3 linked regions of the Stegostoma tigrinum genome follow. The protein of the gene in region 2 purifies or fractionates together with the protein of the main gene of each other region. This does not show direct contact. Links are inferred from orthologs where the notes say so. Each region holds a gene or a part of one and is shown on either strand. Other genes may lie near its edges.

Region 1 (7,222 bases), on a different chromosome or scaffold from region 2:
TGTCTTTTGACCCAACTAGGAAAGTGACAAAAGATCCCAAGACACCACACAGGATGGAGTCTCTCCCTACCACTGTAATGGTCAGCGACCCTAGCCCCATGGAGACTTCCAGAACCAGATCGCCATGTCTTCTCTCTCTCTACACTCTACTCTGTGTTGCTGTGTCCTTTGCTGACAGAACAACTGCTGTCTTGAATCTGTAATCTTACCTTGGACTAGTTCACAGCTAGGGCTCGTGTCAAGCACCAGGAGTTCTGGTTCTGCTGTAGCTTCAACTGGGCTGTTAGCCACCACCTGTGAAAGGAAAGCAAAATAACTCACAATGTTCCAGGGGAAATGTATCAATTTGATGATCCTACCTCAACATCTCCAACAAATCCACCCACCCCAACTCCTCACAGCAAGACAGGAAGGGTCTCATGAGGTTGAGGAGATTGCACTCCAGAAGAATGCTAAACCTCTTTCTCTCAGGCTCTGCTTTTTATTTCAAAATCACTCCCTCCTTTTGCATTCCATATATCCCTGCTTTCTGTTGGAATAGTGTCACAGGGGGCTGAGCTGGAGGCACAAGGAGGGGAACAGTACAGATAGGGAAGTGACCCAACACACCAAAGAGAAACAGTGTCTTCTCTGTTTTGAGCAAAAAAACCTATCCTACACCACTAGACACTGAAAAGTTTACAACACAAGCCAAGGAACAGCAGCTGCTGGACCACTCTTTTCTCTGACAAATAAAAAGTGTTGCCTTCAATTGATTACTCAATTCTGGGATTGTAAAGAAACGGGCAGATCAGTCCATCTAGCTAAAGCTCCACACAACCCTCTTCATCCCACCTTATCACTGCACCCTTCTTTTTCTTTCTTCTTCTTATGGTCATCCAGTTCCCTTTTAAGAAAAAACTATGTCAATTGTGTCAATTGCTGTCTGGGTACAAAGTTCCACATTCTGGGCAAAAAAAGTTCTTCCTGAATTCACGACTGAATTTATTAGTCATTAGGCTGGGGTGGACAAAATTAGAAGTCACACAACTTCAGGTTACAGTCCAACAGTTTCTTGATGAAGGAGCTGTACTCTGAAAGCTTGGGATTTTAAATAAACCTGTTGGACCACAACCTGGTGTCGCGTGACTCCTGGATGTATTACTAACTGTCTTATATGTGTGGACCCTAGTTTTGAACTAAAAAGATAAGTTATGCTAAACAAGTATTGAACCTGATTACACCACATTTAAGAGTATTGTATGGAGTTCTGGTACCATATAATGAAAAAAATATATCAGGCACTGGAGAAGTGACAGAGAAGATTACTAAAGATAGAAACAGAAATGTGTGGGTATACATATCAGGAAAGGAAATGCTGTAGGATGACCTAACAGAAGTCTTTGAAATGATGAGCAGTTTTGATTCAGTCAACATTGTAGGGCTACTGGGAGATTTGGCTTCGCTTAACCAACAACGTCTGGCTGGATATAGAATTGTAAAGTTTTACAGCATGGGAAAAAGGTCTTCAGCCTATGGTGCCAGTCAAACATCCATCTACTCTAATCCCATTTTCAAGCATCTTGCCTGCAGCCTTGTACATTATGGTGTGTTAAAATATTTATCTTCATCTAAGTACTTCTCAAAAGTCTTAACACATCTCGCTTCTAGCATTGTTTTAAGCAGTGTGTTCCAGACATCCACAATCCTGTGAGTAAAGAAGGCTTTCCTTAAATGACGTTTAAACGTTCTGCTTCTACTTTAAAACTTTGCCCCTTGGCTTTTGATCCTTCAGAGGGGAAGCATTTTCTCCCTATCTATCTTGCCTCCTGCAACTTTGTGTAAATCAAATCAAATTCAATTTCAGCTTTCTCTGCTTTAAGAAAACATCAGCTTATCTCTTCATAGTGGAATCACATCAGCCCAAACAACATTCTGCACCCTCTCTAGATGCAGTAACATACTTCCTTTGGCGTGGCAAAACAGAACTGAAAAAAGCTGTAGTCTAACTAACATTATAAATAGTTCCATCATACCCTCTTCGCTCTTGTATTCGATGCCTTGAGTAATAAAAGCAGTCTGTTTGACATGGGAATGCATTATAGCCGAGATACCCTTCTGTTCAGTCCTCCTCTGACACCAAATCTTACACCTTCGCTGCTCAACAGCGGTAAATCTGACCGACTTCCCTCCCGCCACTCAGAAATAGGCCATGTGTCCACTTAACAAGCTAACTACCTCGGACAGTCTTGCATTTAACCTAATATGTCTTTGACAGGCGGTTTATATTGCAGCATTTCACCTAAACGATCATCAAGATTGGTAAAGAGAATCAGAAGGAGGTGCGCAGTACAGTCGAACGAGTCAATGTGGTAAGTTTTCAAGCATTTTAAAATCGCTAACAAAAAACGAGAATGTGCTGTTAACGACATAAAAGAGAGAGTTTTATTGAGCTAAAGAGAAAATAACTGGACAGAATCGCAGGCTTGCAAGTTAATCAAAATACACTGCCGAGAAAAAAAAATTGCACAGCAACAAGGCAGCATGCCTTAACTGTACAGTCGGCCAGATTCGTACCCCAGACCTAGGATAACGGACAACCCGCAACGTTATCAGAGGCAGTTTATACACTCTGCAAGATATGGGGATCGGCAGTCAATTACACAGTACATCGAGGCCAAGCCGAAGCCTGCATAACGCATATCTCCTACGCCACCAACAAAGGGAGGTCACTACATCACACAGATTACAGGGTTCCAAATATTTCTCCACCCCAAACCTCGTATAGCGCATGTCCAAACACTCCAAGAGAATGGAATGGATACATCACACAGGATAAAGGGTTCTACAGTCAATCATCGTAGCCCAACCCTAACCCTGTGTAATACGTTCCGCCACGAGCCAACAATAGGGAGCCAATGCGCTACACAGGATACAGGGTGAAGAGAACAGTCGCCCGCTAACCTCCGCCCGGAATCGCGCATAACGCATCCAATCAGTCCAACGCAAGGGGAGTCGATGCGTTGTTCAGGTTCCCTGGGCCCGGCTGTCAATCACTTGGTTCCTTCCCCCTCTCCGCCTCACAAAGCGCCCGAGACCCATGGCCGCCGTGGACTCGGAGCCGACGGAGCAGCAATGAGCGAGGGAGGGGAAAACGAAAAAGCCTCGGTTTTAGATGTAAGCCAGGATGGGATTTGAGCGGGGTGGGTGAAGAGAAGTCTAAGCGCCCCCGATGTAAGTGAAGAGTCATAACAATTTTTTAATCGGAAAGAGGAATTCCCTTCCCTCAGCGGCTGTCTCACCTCAGCATCCAGGGAAGCCATGGCTCCCGGCCCGTGACGTCATTGCGCAGTGGAGGGGGGCGGGACCTAACCTGCGCGGGGCGTGGCCTAGCCGGATGAAGGGGCGTTGCCATCATTTAAAGGGCCAGTGCTGCTTTCAAGAGGGAGTGGAAAGAGCTCAGTCCACGTCGGTAATAAAGTGTGAAGCTGGATGAACACGGCAGGCGAAGCAGCATCTAGGAGCACAAAAGCGGACGTTTCGGGCTCGCCTTCTGTGGTGAAGGGTCTAGGCTCGAAACGTCCGCTTTTGTGCTCCTAGATGCTGCTTGGCCTGCCGTGTTCATCCAGCTTCACACTTTGTTATCTTGGATTCTCCAGCATCTGCAGTTCCCGTAGGAGTGAGTTGCTCTTGATGCTGGAATCTGTACTGACAACAACAACAAATGTTGGAGATCGCAGCGGGTCAAGCAGCATCCATGGAGAGAGAGAGAGAGCAAACTAATGTTTCAAGTCGAGATAGCTCTTCATCAGATCTAGTGAAGTGTGGAAGGGACAGCATTTATGCTATTGTTGCGAAGGTAGGTGCAGAGTCGTGAGAGAGAAAAGACGTTGATAGTTCAGATTAAGAGACCAGAATGCGAGAACTGTAGAACGATGATGTGTCCAACTGCCAGATTTAGAAGAGCAGGCAAGGTTTTTCTGAAGAAGGGTTTAGGCTGTAAATGTCAGACTTCCTGTTCCTCTGATGCTGCTTGGCCTGTGTTCATCCAACTCTACATCTTGTTGTCTCTGTCCCTCTGAGGTGGTGAGAGAGGAGACAGCACATGGTGACAGAGAATGTAACAAGTAAAGCTAAAGGAAAGGTTAGGAGTAGCAGTTTGTTCACAATTTGAAGGTGCTGAACTTAATATTAAGTCCATAAGGCTAGTCTGATAATGAGACTGGAGGTGTTCTGCAAAGCAGTCACTCAGTCTGCGTTTGGTTTCTCCAATGTAAACATAAACTGGGTCACAGCTTTGCAGATCGACTCCAGTCTGTACGTGGCCAGTCATTTTAACACAACAGACTGCTTGCATGCCCAGTTGTCTGTCTTTGGCATGCTGCGGTGCTCCAGTGAATCACAGCACAAACCAGGGGGAACAACATCTCATCTTCAGACTAGGCCATTTACAGACCTCCAGCATTTGTTGTACTCAGTCCATGACTTGGTTATATCACAGAATGGTTACCATCTACAGAAGTTGCCCATTTTGACCTGTTGTGTGCGTGCACAAAACAACCGTCCAAATGAAAAACAGAAAGCTGGCACACGGTGCAGCAGGTAATCAGGAAGGCTGATGGAATGTTGGAAAACTGCAGATGCTGGAAATCAGAAAAAAAAAGAAATATAGGAAAAGCTCAGCAGGGCTAATAGCATCTGTGGAGAGGAAGCAGAGTTAACATTTCAGGTTCAGTGACCCTTCAGAATTGTCAAGAGCAGAAGCTGCCAGACTTGCTGAGCTTTTCTAGCTATTTCAGATTTTTGTGTCAGCAACAAAAACAGAAGACACATCTGAGGAAGGGTCACTGGACCCAAAACAATAACTCTGATTTTTTTCTTCACAGATGCTGCCAGACCTGCTGAGCTTCCAGCAACTTTTGTTTTTGTTCCTGATGTATCTGCAGTTCTTCTGGTTTTTATTCAGTTTTTGTGTGTTGTGGAAGCAGGGATGGGATTTATTTCATGGGTTTTGGAGTATAAGAGTAGAGACATCTTATTATAACTGTAACAAGGTACTGGTGAGAACGCATCTAATATACTGAGAATATTTTGTTCCCTTATTTAAGCATAGGTATTATTTCAGTTTAGGCAGAGAGGACACAGAGACAGTTTAGAAAGATGATCTCTGATATGGAGGCATTGTCGTCCGAGCACAGGCTTAACAGGTTGAGACCCTACTCACAGGAGTTTAAAATGAGAGGGGATCTCATTGGAACATATAAGATGATGAAGGGACACTGACAGGATAAATGCTCAGAGGATGTTTCCCATCACGGGAGAGCCTAGCATAGCAGACATAGTCTCAGAACAAAACAGCATCAGTTTAAAACTATGAAGAATTGTCTTTATAACTCCTTGCTACAGACAGCTACGGAGTAGAGTCTTTATATGTATTTATGGCTTAGATAGATTCTTGATCAGTACGGGTAATCAATGGTTACAGGAAAAACACAGAAAAGCTGACATGAGGAATGTCAGATCAGCCATGATCCTATTGAATATTGGAGCAGGCTCGTTGGACCAAATGCCTATTCCTGTTCCTATTTCTATAGTCTTAACACATGCATTTAGAGCCACTTGTCATACCCCTGCACTCACTTCCTTTTTCAACCCAACTCTCTGTTGAATGCCTTGATTGAAAGTGCCCCCATGCATTCTCAGGCAGCACATTCATGTGACCTACACCACTTCTGAATGAAAATATGTATCTCTGTTGTTTATTTTTTCAATTTCTTTCATTCTGGACCTTCATGCTCTCAATCAGCAATGGGAATAATCTTTTTTCTATGTTGCCCAAATTTCTCAAGATTTGAATACTGCCATCAAATCTCCTCTCTCTTCTGCAAGAAAAGCAGTTGCACCTTCTCCAGTCGATCTACGTAACTGAGGTTCCTCATACTTGGACCCATTCTCTTGAATCTTTTCTGCACTTCAATGTCTTCTTGTATTTCCAAGAGCTAGACTCAGTACTCTAGTGGCAGCTGAAACACTATCTTTTTCAAGTCTAACACAACCTAATCTTAAGTCCATGTTCCAATTAATAAGGCCTAGGATACTGTATGCTTTCTCAACTGCGCTCTTGCCAGTTCCAATGTCTTATTCGCATATACATCAAATTTTCTCTGCTCCCAAATGCTCTTTACTTTATACTGTCTATCTGTGTGCTTCCTACCAAACTCAATTACCTCAGGGATGTCCGCACTGAAATTAATCTGCCACTTGTCTGTCCATACCACCAATTTGTTTGCATTCTTTTAAATTTCTACAGTATCCTCCTCACAGTTCAAAATGCTTCCAAGTTTTGTGTGACATGCAAATTTTGTTCTTGTACCCTGTGCATCAAAGGCTAGGTAGCTAATATATATCTTCAAGAGCAAGGCTACCAGCACTGAACCCGGGCAGCTCCACTTCTTCCAACCCAAAAGCATTCATTAACCAGTACTTTTTGTAACTTGTCACTCAGACAATTTGAAATCCATGATAACAGCATCTTTATTTATTCCATCAACCATGACTTTGTTCACAAGCCTGTTGTGTGGCACTATGCCAAACTATTGTATGTCCATGTACACCATACATATAGCATTACCTTCATCAATCCTTGCTGCTACCTCATCAAACAACTCCAGGAAGTTAGTAAAACAGCATATTCCCTTAACAAATAGAACATAGAACATTACAGCACAGTTCAGGCCCTTTGGCCCTCGATGTTGTGCCGACCTGTCATACCGATCTGAAGCTCATCTAACCTACACTATTCCATGTACTTCCAATCTGTGCTGGCATTCCTTAATTATATTTGCATTTGCCCAAGTGGCTATTAATGTTGTCCTGAATTCTTTTTTCCCCAGAAGCTTCGTCAGCGCCAAAGTTAAACTGGCTGGTGTAATCTTCACACTCTTGTTTTGAACAAGAATCTAACATTTGCAGTGCTGCGGTCCTCTGGCACCACCTTGAGGTGAAGTCCTTTATACCTTTAACATTTGCCCTGTTCTGCCCTTTACACAGCCATATTCTATAGATCTGAAATCCCCACATTGTGACAACTCTATGATTCTTGCTTAGCTTTGTAAATTCCTTGCAAATTCCCATTCCTCCTGCAGTCTTCCCACTGGCTAGTTGCCGATGGGCTACACTGAGCAGTGGAATTGCACCTTTTCTGTTCCTTAGAGTTGCTCGTAAGATGCTGCTTGGCCTGCTG
Region 2 (7,002 bases):
ATTATAACGTGAAATCAAGCCAATGTGCATTAAAGTAAGAACTTAGTATTTGAGGAGGCACAGACATGCACTTTTCCATCATGAATACTTTTAAGCAGATCCAATACAAAGCAATATGACATATTTTGTATTAAATCAGCCAAGTTGTAATCATAGATCCAACTTCAGATTCTTCCCAACTTTTAATTAGAAAAAACTAGATAGAATAGGTCTATGCTGAACATTAACAGTTGTTCATCACAAAGCTTGACAAATTTTAAAAGTGTTTACAGATCATTCCATCAGGTATAAACCAATACAATTTGGATATGTACAACTTCCAAGTCCTTATACCACATTTACTTATACTTACTTTTATAAAACTTTGTTTGCTTACCAATGCAAAGCTTCTATGGAGAGCTTCAGCCAGCTCTGTGCTTTCACATTGTCCTTGTAGTGCTTCATTTGGCTAATCTAAAAATTCCACTTAAGAGTTTTCATGTCAACAATTTAAGACTCCTGGGAGAAACTCATTCAGAATCCATGTACATGGAACAACAAACCAAAAATAAACATTGTGGCTTCCTTTGAAAATAGGAATTTTCCCTCTGCTTCAGGTAGATGTTGGACAGGATTCCAAAACCAACTTGTCCAAAGCTCCGAGATAACAGGGTGTAGAGCTGGATGAACACAGCAGGCCAAGCAGCATCTTAGGAGCACAACTTCTGATGAAGGGTCTAGGCCCGAAACGTCAGCTTTTGTGCTCCTAAGATGCTGCTTGGCCTGCTGTGTTCATCCAGCTCCACACTTTGTCGTCATCAATTATCTGCTGTATCCTTTTGCAACAGAACTTTCCAGGTCTAGATCACCTCAGTAGTTACCTGCCCGAACCCTATTAAACACCTCAGATGACTCAAAAGGACAAACAAAAACTTTATTACTCTATTTATAGAGCAAATCAGCTAAGTTTAATTAAATGGTGGTGACAATTCTGTGTTATTCACACCCAGCTGGGTTACAGTGTGTGAGAAAATAATCCAGCTTGAAATGTTTAATGGACAAGATTATACGTCTTTTAAACTAGACATTAAAATAACTACAAAATTACATGCAAAATGAATGCAGGCCAAATGCTCATACTGGAAACCAATTATTATGGAGGCTTTCAAAAGAGTATTTGTAGACTCCTTGGCCAAAGATAGCTTACAAATATTTAAAGCACACTGAATATTATTGTGACAACATGCCACAGAAAGCAAGTTAAAGGTCCTACAAGAATCTTGCACTATTAAGTTAAATTCAGGAAAATCAGCCTCAGTACACAAAAAAAAACAAAAACCAAGATTAGACAGCATCAGACTCTTGTATTTCTGGATCTAATGCACTTGTCCTGCACCCAACTCCACATAACCATTAGTTATGAAATAGTTGGAAAAAATTTTAGTGTCCCTTGAAGGGCTTATCATAAACTGCAACTGATTAAAGTATATCAAAAAGGAGGGGGCAAAATTTCAAAATTTACAGCTATTTAGAAATTTTATGCAAGAATTCAAAAACATAAATTCATGACACTATGTTAAAGTTCCTCTAGATTTAAGTTACTTGGGATCCATTGTACAGCCATTATTCTATGATGGCATTTGGAAAAAAAAACTTCAGTTGCCTTACATAGAATCCAAAGATTAGTGGTATTGTACATCATTGACCTTGGATTTGGTAACAAACGCCACCAAACACCATACAAAACAAATAAGAGCAAGTTTAAAGGCAGACAATCCAGTTTGGAGTCATAGACTTTGAAGCACAGCACAGTTCCTTTCAATTCCTACAACACACTCCTGACATGCTTTCCCCCATTTTGCCCACAATCAATGCCAGTGTTCAGTTTATGCGTGTGGATGAGTCGCAGTGCAGAGCAGAACCTATTCAAATTAAAGAACTGCACAAAGCTCAAAAATTGACATTGAAAAAGGGGTAACCCAACTTTTGTTGTTGGAGTAGTGGGAACTAGCATGATAAAACCCAAGATTGGGGGAGGGGACGGGGTGGAAGAATTGGTCCGAGATGCCATGTTGCGTGGCAAAGGAAGACATGCAAGTAGTGTGTGCCCCGTCCCGCCTGAATTGTCTGTCACGCTGTCGAATCGCTGGGTCCAAACTACAACCCAACAACCAAGGAGGTGGGGGGGAAGAGAGAGAGGGAGAGAGAAAGGAGGGGGGAGGGGGGATTGGTGGTGGAATGGATGGCAAGCAAAAAAAAGCAAAACTCCCAACCGATCGTCGTCCTCCCCCACCCCCATCCACCGCTCTCTCTCTACTGTCGGTGAGCTTATTGCGACGGGAAGGAGGAAAAAAAACACACACGCACGTACCTTTTATTTTGGCACAAGGGAGTGCGCGGAGGAGCGGCGGGCCGGGTTTTTATTGTCAGCGCTCGTCCTCCATCCATCCAGGCACGGCCGCCATTTTGCTCGCTATTGTGCCCGGAGATGGTGAAGGCGGGAGGTTGGGGGGAGGGGAGGTTAAAAGAAAGGGGGCGGTGGGACGCCGGCCGTTGCTGAGCCCTGCCCGCGGCAACCGGGTTGGTGTGTGACGGGGGGAAAGTGGGGGTTTTGCTGGTATCGGCTGGGTACAGCCCGATGGTCGGCTTCCTGTCAGAAACGCGAGCGGGCGCAGTCCTTTGTCCCCGCCAAGTGCGTGTTTGTTCTTCCACCACCATCACCAACCGTCTCCTGTTTTTCTCCCCCCACCCCCCCAACGACAACCGCCTTCCTCCTTTCCCTCCGCCAGTGGAGGCGCCTTCCTCTCACAGCCGCCTCTCTCTGTTGTCGCTGTTTCTTTTTAAACATACATAAGTGGCAGCTGGGGCTTCAGGAAAGCGTGGAAATGGTGTCGGCTTCCTGACCAGGTGAGAGAGAGCAGGATTCTGACTATTCACTCACTGGAAAAGAAATATTTTGGATGGTTTGTGTGTTGGGGGGGGGGTCAGGGAGTGGAAAGAGGTCAAAACAAAAACCACTGCTCGTTTTTCTCGCAGCACCCGGTTTCCTGTCTGAAGAAAAACAAAATGGGAATGAACTCCCATCAGATCAACAAGGCAGGTGTCAACTCGAAGGAAACTCGACGCTGCAAGAAAAGTAATAATCAATGGCCAATTGGGCCAGCGCCCCATGGGACACTGGGAAACCAGGCCTTCAGGAGAAAGGGACCAAATAACAGTTTGTCTTTTGGGGAGTGAATAAAGTAAACATCTGTCGAGCCTTTTTAAAACAAATCAATCTTTCATCACCACACATGGGAAGATCGTTGAAACGTGCGGTTATTTTAATAGTTGCGTGGATGTTTTGCAAAGAGGCCGTTGCAAAGAATGTCTTAATTAATATTCCGGAAGATGTTTACCGGAATACTGCTGACTCCATGACTCTTGGCTCTCTGGCTGCTAGTGCTGGACAACACGTTCTCGGAAATTGTTGACAAACGATTTTAACTGCTTATCTACAGTTCAGGCATGATTCCTCGCTAAACTCCAGCACTCGATCTTTCACCAGTAGATTCCCAGCATATCATTTTTATTGATCTGTTTGCCATTTATCGTTACAGTCCTTTGCAAATAAAATGGTTGTTTTCAGCCATTGTTTTGGTTGCATTTCTTCACATCGTATACGTCCTACTCAACAATACCACTGTTTACATGAATTTTCTTTCAGCGAAGAGATAAATTGCTTCCATGTTTAGCTACTTAGAACATAGTGCAAGCAAAATAATGCAACTCCACAGGCATGGACCAAGCTTCAGCTGTGTAAGACAGCACCACCATTTTAAATGGAAATTCACATAAACAAATTAAAGTAATACAAACACAATTCCAAATTTCCAATTCCAAAAGCAGCTAAAAAGTTTAATGGAAAAGAAGATTTTGAACAATTGTGATAGTAATGGGAAAAAAGTGTTATATCAGGATTTCAATCACCCATATTCAATCATTGAAATAACTACAGGGAAAGAATACGGATGGATTTTGGTATGTCGAAAATATTAAATGAGTAACTTGTGTCAATTTTCACTTTTGAAGATCATTGAAATAACTACAGGGAAAGAATATGGATGGATTTTGGTATGTCAAAAATATTAAATGAGTACCTTGTATCAATTTTCACTTTTGAGGATGATGCTTAACCAGTAGAATTCAACAATGTCACTAATTAACATTGTTAATATTAAAAACAATATTATTTTAGAATTAAGAACCTTGACATAAAACAGTAGATCATTGAAAGGATATCCATCCAGTGGGTCTCAAGGAAACAGGATAAGGGTCTCCTAACACCCTTCTTGCAACCCTCCCCAAGCTAAACCAACCACCCCCCCACCTCCCCCATAGACTGGAAGAAGACTAATATTCCTTTTTTAATGAGGGAGATAAGACAGAATAGGATACCTTTAGGCCTAGTAGTTTGTTGTCAGTAATAAAGAGGGATGATTAGATATGTACTATTTAGCTACTTAAAGTAGGATATATCAGGAAGACCCAACATGGCCAGAAAAGGGTCCTGTCCCACATTTCAGTTCACTTTATGAAGCATTTATCAAAATAGTGAATGAGGTAAACATTTCCTCAGTTTTCAAAATGTCAGAAAGGAGGTGATGGTATTGTCACTGAGATTGGTAATCCAGAAACCCAGGTATTGTACTAAGGACCTGGATTCAAATTCCACCATGGCAAATGGTGGAATTTGAATGCAATAAATATCTGAGTGATGGCCAAAAAACTATTGTCATCAAAACTTATCTAGTTCACAAACATCATTCAGAAAGAGAAAACGTGATCTGGCCTACAGAGCCACAGAAATGTGGTTTCCTCTTAAGTACCACTAGCAATGGACTCTGTTGTCTCTAACTTTAAAAAAAGAGAATAAAACTAGACAGACCATCCGGCATCAACCAAGACACCCAGAAATGATAATGGCCTGTTGATCCTGCAAAGTCCTTCTCACCAACATGTAAGGGCTAGTGCCAAGATTAGGAGAGCTATCAGCCTGACATGCTCATACTCAAAGAATCATACCTTACATGTATCATTCTTGACAACACCATCATTATCCCTGTCCCATCACCAGGACAAATGCAGCAGATGTTGAGACACAGTGGTATACAGTCAGGAGGTAGTTTCTGCAGGAGTTTTCAACATTGAAAGCAGACCTTGTGAATCTCATATGTCAGGTCAGACATGGGCAAGGAAAGCTTCTGCTGATTACTACAAACTGATCCCCACCTCAGACGATGACTCAGTGTACTATGCTGAACACCACTTGGAAAAAAAACTAAAGGTGGCAAGGGCACAGAATGTCCTTTGATTAGGCAATTTCAGAGTCCATTGCCAATGGAAGCATCACTACTGACTGAGTTGGTCAAGTCCTAAAGAACATAGCTGCTATACCAGATCTGTGGCAAGTAGTGATGGAACCGACAAGAGTGAAAAATGTACTTGACCTCATTCCCATTGATCTTCCTGCGGTAGATGCGATCTGTCATGACAACATTAATAAGACTGACCACAGCACAATCCTTATGGAGACAAAGTCCTGCCTTCGTATTGATCATTGACGCCATGCTGAATGAAATAGACTTTGAACATATCTCCCAAATCAAGATTAGACATGCATGATGCACTGCGGACTGACAGCAGCGGCAGAATTGTACACCCACCAATGGCAACCTCATGGCCTGGGCAAATCCCTGCAACACTATCATCAAGTCTGGTTCAATGAAGAAGGCTGGAGCAGAACCAGGCCTACTTGCACATCAGGTGTTAACCTGGTGAAGCTACGAAACAATACCACTACAAGATAAAACAGTGTAAGCAGCAAGTGATATACAGAGCTAAGTGATTCCAAAAACAAAGCTCTTCAGACCTGCCACATCCGGTCATGGCTGGTAGTGTGCAATTTAAAAAGTGATTGGCAGGATGAGGATCTACAAATATCCCCATTCTCAACAATGATAATACATTAGTGCAAAAGGACGAAAGCATTTGCAACAATCTTCAGCCAAGAGTGCCAAGTAGATGATCCGTCTGGCCTCCTCCCAAGATCACTAGCGACAATAGTACTGAAGAAGTACACTCCAGATTTGCCACTCCCTTCAAGCTGTTCTAGTACAGCTATAACACAAGCATCTATCCAACAATGTGAGAACTTCCAACCTGACCCTATTAGTTTAATCTCAATCATCAGTGAATTTATGACAAGTGTCATCAACAGTGCTACTGAGCAATGTTTGCTTAGCGATAACCTGCTCACCCTGGTTTCTGCCAGGGTATCTCAATTCCTCACTATGTTATATCTTTGCTTCAATGCTGAGCTCCCAAGGGGACGTGAAAATGACTGTGCTTGACATCAAAATTGTATTTGACTGAATATGGCATTAAGGAACGCTAGCAGGCTTGGAGTCAATGGGAATTAAGGGAGAACTCTCTTTTGGTTGGGGTTACACCTGACACAAACCTGGTTATGGTTGGTGGAGGTCAGACACCTCAGCTCCAGGATGGTTGTACAGGAATTCCTCAGGGTAGTGTCCTAGGTCTAACCATCTTCAGCTGCTTCAGTAATATCCTGTCATAAGGTCAGAAGTAGGGATGTTCACTGATGATTGCACAATGTTCTAAATAAATTGTAAATCTTCAGATACTGAAGCAATCTGTGTCCAAATGTAACAAGTTCAGGACAAAATTCAGGTTTGGCCTGACAAGTGACAAGTAAGTGCCAAGCAATGAATATCTCCAATATGAGAATCTGATCATTGCCCTTGACATACAATGATTTCTCAATCGTACAATTCCTGAATTTCAGCATCTGGGGCTTAAAATTGACTAGGAACTAAGGAGTGGCACGGTGGCTCAGTGGTTAGTACTGCTGCCTCACAGCGCCAGGGACTTGGGTTCAATTCCACCCTCAGGTGACAGTCTGCGTGGAGTTTGCATGTTCTCTCCATGTCTGTGTGGGTTTCGCCCAGGTACTCTGGTTTC
Region 3 (7,441 bases), on a different chromosome or scaffold from region 2:
TTTGTTGACTGGCTCAATAAAATCATTCAATAATACATTTATTTTAAATTTAATATTTGTAAATTTGTGACAGCACTGATGTAATACTATGCATTTGTGTTCATAGGAAATAATATTGTTGATCAATGCACTGCAAATGTGCACAACTGTTGCAACTATGTATAGCTATTTGAGTACCAGAATTCTTATTGGTCAATTATGCTAACACTTTTGCAACAAAGCAATATTAGGTGAACATTGGGACAAAGTCTGTATTTATAATGGATTTCATGTTATACATCTCTCAGCAGATAAGATGAGGTAGTTACTAACTGGGTGTGTGTATTTCCAGTCTATACTGGCCAAAATGTAACAATTATTTAGTCAAGAAATGTCAAAGTCAGTGATTTTGGGCTCACTGTGGTAGAATTCATTTTGAAAATATATAATTAAATGGCAATTAATGAATGTAGGAAAATTAATCTATATTCTGAGGTGAAACTTTGAAATGAATTATCGCCACTTTTAAAAGTGAATTCCAGAACTGACTTATTTAAGCTCTAGACCAGGATAATCTTACATTTCATAATGGTATATATCAAGAGAAGGTGATTAAATTTAAAACCAATTTTGGAGATTTAAATAACCTTTAGCTTTCTTTCTTAGATACAACTAAAGCTACTCTGCTGAATCAAAACAATGTGCTGTGTTCCTTGTTGCAATTTAAGTTCAACACATCATTGAAGAGAAATAAAGCTCTTCTCTAAAGCTGTGATTTTAGTCTCCATACTGAGTATTGGTCACTCTTCATTCAAAAATAAGGTTAAGGTATATTGAGCAATAGAGTCACACAACAGAGAAGCACACCCTTTGGTCTAACTCGTCCATGCTGACCAGGTTTACCAAAATTAAACTAGTCCCATTTTCCTGCATTTGGCCCATATCCCTCTAAACCAAACTAAGATGGGTAGAGTGCAAAAAGAAAGCCATGAATTTGGAATATGCAAATCCAAAAATATGTGTATATCTGATGTGTGCGTGTGAGGGGTTGGGGTGAAAACTGCAATATTTAACAAAACAATTTGATAAGGTGAGGAAATCTAAGGTGGAAACATTTACAGCTATATGTTGAACTTGTGAATAACCTGAAAACATTATGAAAATCCCTTTTAATAAATCTTTTGGAATAACTTCTAATCATTCATGCACAGGTATGTCCTCAGTACAAATAGTCAATCTATATTCAGATATTGGTTGAAGGACAAGCAATAAGTAGTTTCTTAACTTGGGATCAGTTCACATAATTAGTGCATCTCATCTGTGTTCTCTATAAAATATCGTAAGTTACATAAAAGTCATGACATGTTGACTAAAGTAATAACTTTAAGGTACAGTGTTAGTAAATTAATGGGTATCCATTAACTAACTGCTTTTGGGCTTTACATTTGAAACTTGGATATCCTTCTAATTTTCAAAATGACCTGTTACTGCTAATTACTGGTGTACACATTCAGTCAGTAACGAGCTCAGTGTCTCCCAGAACCAATTTAGACAAAGCATATTTTCAGCCACAGTTACAGAACACAACTTTCACTTCAACCTTTAAAAGTTCACTATCTGTTTAATTTCAGATAAAACACTGAATGCACTTTTTCTGAATTTAAATTTAAAAACTCATGCAGCTTTATTATTGTTGGATGTGCTGAACTTTCCGTGTAAGATTAGCGTGATACTTTTGTAGGAATGCAATGAGGTACAAGGTGATGCCTCGCTTTTATTATACATCCTATAATAATGAAAATAGTTGGAATGGTTATAGCACAAGAAAAGGCCATTCAGCCTGTCATGTCTGTGTCAGCTTTGGTAAGAATCAGAATCACACAGATTGGAAACAGACCCTCCGATCCAACTAGTCCACAGTGATGTTCCCAAACAAAACCAGACATGCCTGCTTGTGCTTGGCCCACATCCCTCCAAACTTTTCTTTTCATGGACTTATCTGAATGTCTTTTAAACGTGTAGCTGTACCTGCATCCGCCACTTTCTCTGGCAGTTCGTTCTATACACTAGCCACTCTCTTTTTAAAGAAAAAATTTAGAAGTTGCTCTGTGTCCTTTTTAAATAAGCCTCTAAATTTGAACACCCCCCCCCCCCCCCGCCCCACCCCATGAGGGAAAAGACCCTTGTCATTCACCTCATCTATGCCCCTCATGATTTTATAAACCTCAAAGGAGGTCACCGGTCTAACTCTACATCCCAGTGAAAGATATTCCAGCCTTTCCAGTCAATTTTTACAACTCAAACATTTCATCCCACCTGGTAACATCCTGGTAAATCTTTTCTGCACCCTCTCTAGTTAATAATATCCTTCCTTTTAACAGGACAAGCAGAACTGCACACTAGTCTAGAAGACGCCTCACCAATGTCCTATACAACATCAACATGACGTCCCAACTCCTATGAGTGGAAGTCTGAGCAATGAAGGCAAGCGTGCTAAACGCCTTCTTAACCACCCTGTCTACCTGTGATGCAAATTTCAAAGAATTATGTTACTGAAGCCCGAGGTGTCTCTGGTCCACAACACGACTGAGGTCCCTACTATTAATTGTACAAGACCTGTCCCTTATGTATTATCAAAGTGCAATATCTCACATTTATCCAAATTAAACTCCATCTGCTATTCCTCAGCCCATTGACCCAATTTGATCAAGATTTCTTTGTAATCTTAGATAACCTTCTTCACTGTCCAGTATTCCACTAATTTTGGTGTCACCTGCAAACTCACAAACTATGCCTTCTATATTCTCACCCAAATCATTTTTATATAAGTGACAAACCAAAATGGACCCAGTACTGATCCTTTGGAACACTGCTGTTCACAGGCCTCCAGTCCAAACAACTCTCTGCCGCTGCCGCCTCCTCCACCACCCCCAACCCTACCATCTCCACCCTGACACAACCTCCACGTACCCCGCTTCACCGCCCCCAACACACACACACACACACACCCCCACCCAACCACCTCCACCCTCCTATCCCATACCCCCACCTCATACCCCTCCCCACTCCCCCACCTCCACCCCCCCACCATCTCCCCACACCTCCCCCCTCACACCTTCCCCTAACACTCCCCAGACCTCCCACTCCCCACATCCCCCCCCCACCACCAGCTGCAAACATCCCCCCAAACCCCCCTCACCCACACCACCTCCCCCCACCGTTGGAAAGCTCATCTTGAATCCCACATAATCTAACTTATTTGACAAGGTTCTGCATGGTAGTCTAAGGCTATACTGAGGTTGAAGTAAACAACAGCTACCACTCTGCCCTCGTCAACCTTTTTGATTATTTCATTAAAATGTCAGTCAAATCTGCAACACAACATTTTTTTTAGGTTTGCCAGTTACCAACTGTTTGCATTTTAAATAAAAAAAATTTCCTCATGACACTGTTGGATCTTTTGCCAATCACCATAAATTTGATTACCTTTGGTTCATGACCTCTCTAGCAATGGAAAGCTTCTCTTTATTAAACTGTCTAGACTCCTGATTTTAACTTTGAAATACAAAGATTCAAAGAGATAGATCAGTTACCATAGCTGTTTCATGGAAACCTATGTTAAAAAATATGGTACACTTGTATGCCAACTTGAGACACTGACATTTACTAGCCAATCTATAATTCAAATAACATACATAATAACAAATTGCATGATCTCTAAACATTAACAATAGCCTGCAGTAGTGACAATCTCAAATTTCAAAACCAAATCTACTAAAGTGTTGGGCTGTCATGATAGCAGTTCTTTAAATCTCCCTATCTCATTGTGAAGATATTTGTGACTCTTTACACACCTGGGCGAGAGCCTTTCTCAAATATGACATCATGTGTGTAAAAGTAAGTAGATTCTGAGGTCTGAACATGGGCATATTTTCATCCCCTATGTCCATTGCAACTTTCTGGTGTGACAAAATGGAGGACATCCCACCAAGATCTCAGAAAGTAGTGCTGGAGCAGGCCTGAGGCGTAGTAATAACCCAAATGCTGAATGAAGTTGTACTCACATATGTGTGCTGAGGTCTGCGAGAGCACGGCGAGCAGATGGAGGCGCCAGATGCCCTAGTTCGCACCTGCGCACTACTGCCGCCTGGCCAGTAGAGAAAGGGCGGGTGAGGAATAGCGCCCCTAGCGGTGGCTCGAGGGAGCCTCGTTTTCACACGCCCTGCTCCAATTCTCGCGAGGCTACAGCAAAAGGGGACTTGTGCAACATGAACTATCCTTATTATTCCAGCCATCTGACCCCCTTTCACCACTCTTGGCAGAAGTGGGACAAATAGCAGGGGGGCCATGAGCCTGAAGTTTGCGTGAATTGCCCTCAAAGTAATGCTCAACTCTGCTCTCTATTGGACAATAGTCCCTATGCAAATAAAGCGTATACGTCACTTCCGTTCTTTCTCGGACGCCATTTTGGCCAGGGAAGGCTCAGTGAATTATTGTCCGAAAGCAATTGAATCTCTTTACCCCTGTTTTTCCTGTCGTCCCTTCGGGGTTTGCGCCTCGAAAAGTTTTCGATCAGAAAAAAAGTTCGTTTAGTCGGTCGAAGTTTATTTTCGTTTTATTCCCGAAGCGGTTTTGTTCGGTGGCCTTCAGTTGTCTTTTTTTCCCCTCTCCTCCTCTTTTCCCCCTCCCTCCCCTCCTCCTATCCTCTCCCCTCCCCTCTCTCTGTATAAAGAGCTCCCTCTTTCAGTCAGCGCTGGAAGCACCGCCGCGGCCGCTGCTCGCTCGCTCGGGGTTTGATGTGAGGAGATTGAAGCGGCGGCAGCAGCAGGAGGAGGAGGCCCCTTTGTTTGCGGCTCGCCTGCCCGCTCCCTCCCTCGCGCTCTTCTCTCTCTGCTGCCGGTTCGGCCGACCGACCGACCGGCTCGCGCTTAATTGATTAAACCAAAATAAGAAAAACAAAAGGAAAAGAAAAAGGTGAGAGCGTTTCGATTTTTTTTTGTCAAAGTCTGTAACCGAGCTCTTCTGTACATCAGCATTTTTTGGATTATGCTTTTTGTATTTTGCCAGAAAAAGAGGGGAAACCCCCCTGCAGCAAATGTGTGTTACATGCGAGTATTCTCCTTTTATCTTTGTCCATGTATCAAGTGCTGATTGCTAGAGATGCATAGGTACAGAGGTCTATCTGCAACGATTGCTTTATCCTATTTGTTGCCTATTTGCATGATTTAAAAATACACCAAAGACAGGATTTTCTTTGCTGAATTTGACAAATCCGCAATTCAAGCGATACTGGTTACACTATCCCATCGCTTATAATTGTTGTCGATCATTTGTGTCCATTGTTCTTCAAAACTAGGTGCGGGTTCGGATATTAGTATAATTTACTATGTATCGATTTGATGCATATGTGATGGGTCAAGTCACCCAATCGATAGGAGTGTTACCTTTCCCAATCGCGAAATACAGTATTTACCTGTGTCTGGAGCTGAATGGATCGAGGCATTTTGTTTTTTTTGTTTGCAGAACGTTTTTTTATGTTTAGCGGATTGTTTGATCCGCTGGTAAATTAGTTCAAATAATTTCAAGCCCCTTCGAAATCGTCGCGGTTTCGGATGCATAAAATATAAAATAGCAATTGTCGCCGGCTATCCTGTGTGCCATCGGTCGTGAATCTGATCGAACATTTGTTTACACATTTGCTCAATACCTTTTCTAGTGCTCTATGGTCTTTAGACAGCATGCTCAACCAATCCAGACAGCAAGAAACGCCCTAGACAGAAGACGGGGTGGATGGAAACTGAGATTTAATTTATTTGTTAATTCACATAGTGATTCCATTCGATGATGCTTCCGGATATTTTATGATGCAAATAATATTGGGGATGGGATAAGTTAAAATGATATTTTTAAAATGTGCACCTCTGGACCGGTTGCCGGCTGTGACGTTGCTGTAAAATGGCGCGAGTACTGCTCTACTGCAGACATGAATAGATTTAGGGATTCCCAGTTTTGTAATTGCTTAAGTAGAAATGTTTGGCACGTGCTCTTTGGAGAAATTTTGACCGGTCCCGCTGTTATCAGGGCTTGTGTTGCAAATTACGACCCCGAAATGCAAGAAAATGCATTTTGAACTGTTTTGCATCAAATAAAATTGTTTAATAATCTTTCTACTTATTGTGTCTAAAAACGTGTTTTTTAGAATAAAACTAAGTTAATGATTCTTGATTTCTCACCCTTCAGCTAATGGCAAATCATTTTCCACTTCTTCCGTGCACAGCCGCCCCCACCCATGTTGTAGTGCAGCCATGCAGAGAATGAAAATCAATACTCGGTGCAGCAGGAGGCGCTCTTCAGAGGCTAGTTTTGAGGCTTCAGTTGCAGGATGAGGAGTTGTTAGTGTAAAGAAATGCTCAATCAGAAAAATGCTAACGCTCCCAGTACAGCGCCACCTGTAGCTTAGACTCCGAATGTGGTGCTTGAAGACTTTTGGGTCACATGCAAAACAGTAGCTGGCATAATAACCATGCAATGTAGTTGAATTATTTCACCAAATGCATGTCTCATTGGTATACCCCATACTACTGAAACCCAGCTTCTTCGTAACTAAATGCATTTAGTGACAACTGGTGGAAAGAAAGAATGTGAAAAATGGTGGTAAGTACAACGTTGGTTAGTGTTTGGAAGTTGACTGCACTTGGAGTGCGCTGTCTTTTTAGCTAAAGGAATTGGTCCTGTTGCTTCATCCTATCATCCAAGTAAAGCATCTATGACTTGTTAGATGGTTTTGGTTGGATATTTCAGAAGATGATTGAGCATAATTGGCTTAGTTGGGTATGGCGATTACTGTTTAGCAATAAATGGCTATATAGTGATCACCCATTTTTGTCCATCATGTGCCTTTTCAGAAGGTTATCTTTCCAATGGTGCAAGTTGCTATTCAGATTAAACAGACTCTGAAGTTTTTTTTTGGCTGGCATCCTGTATCATTCCCAATCAGCATGAAATACTTTACTTGAATTTTCTTTAAAATGGGACCTGGTACCTTAATAGCTGTTTTGCTTAGGCAAATCTAAACTGTGTAATCTTCTGGTTTATTTTCCTCTAGTTATAAACACTGTTTGAGTCACACCGCAAGATTTGATGGCCAAGGAAGGTGTGCTCACAGAGTAGCCAGAGGTTGGTTTAATTGTGGAGCCAGAAGTCTCTTCAACATATCTCAACAGTGGGCAGTGAGAAAAACAAAGATTTCTAGTCAGCCATGTGAGAAAAGTAAGTGGGATCTCTATCACTATGTGAAGACCCATATTACTTCATGGTTGTAAAAGTGCATGTTGCACAGAAATTCACCTCCTAAGTGACCTGAATATAATAGATCCTTAAGCATAACAAAACTCCAATGTCTTTAATTTATTGTTTATACTATTTTAGTTTTGTCCTGCCATGGATGTAAATTTCAGTGACA

What was found.
Region 1: the proteins of zinc finger protein 644-like (region 2) and ehmt2 purify together in Homo sapiens (affinity purification with mass spectrometry; 3 studies listed by BioGRID and IntAct, with this or other methods). This does not show direct contact. The link is inferred for Stegostoma tigrinum from reciprocal best matches to the Homo sapiens genes ZNF644 and EHMT2.
Region 3: the proteins of zinc finger protein 644-like (region 2) and adnpb purify together in Homo sapiens (affinity purification with mass spectrometry; 3 studies listed by BioGRID and IntAct, with this or other methods). This does not show direct contact. The link is inferred for Stegostoma tigrinum from reciprocal best matches to the Homo sapiens genes ZNF644 and ADNP.

What each region holds. Positions count from the first base shown.
Region 1 is NC_081387.1:20,687,686-20,694,907, forward strand, and holds the start of ehmt2 (histone-lysine N-methyltransferase EHMT2), read right to left. Parts: upstream 3,001-7,222; 5' UTR 2,971-3,000; coding exon 2,944-2,970; intron 295-2,943; coding exon 210-294; intron 1-209. UniProt on the Homo sapiens protein: Histone methyltransferase that specifically mono- and dimethylates 'Lys-9' of histone H3 (H3K9me1 and H3K9me2, respectively) in euchromatin.
Region 2 is NC_081361.1:87,622,592-87,629,593, reverse strand, and holds the start of zinc finger protein 644-like, read right to left. Parts: upstream 3,010-7,002; 5' UTR 2,698-3,009; coding exon 2,351-2,697; intron 2,302-2,350; exon of another isoform or gene 2,208-2,301; intron 2,159-2,207; exon of another isoform or gene 2,020-2,158; intron 1-2,019.
Region 3 is NC_081372.1:40,818,548-40,825,988, reverse strand, and holds the start of adnpb (activity-dependent neuroprotector homeobox b), read left to right. Parts: upstream 1-4,441; 5' UTR 4,442-4,953; intron 4,954-7,441.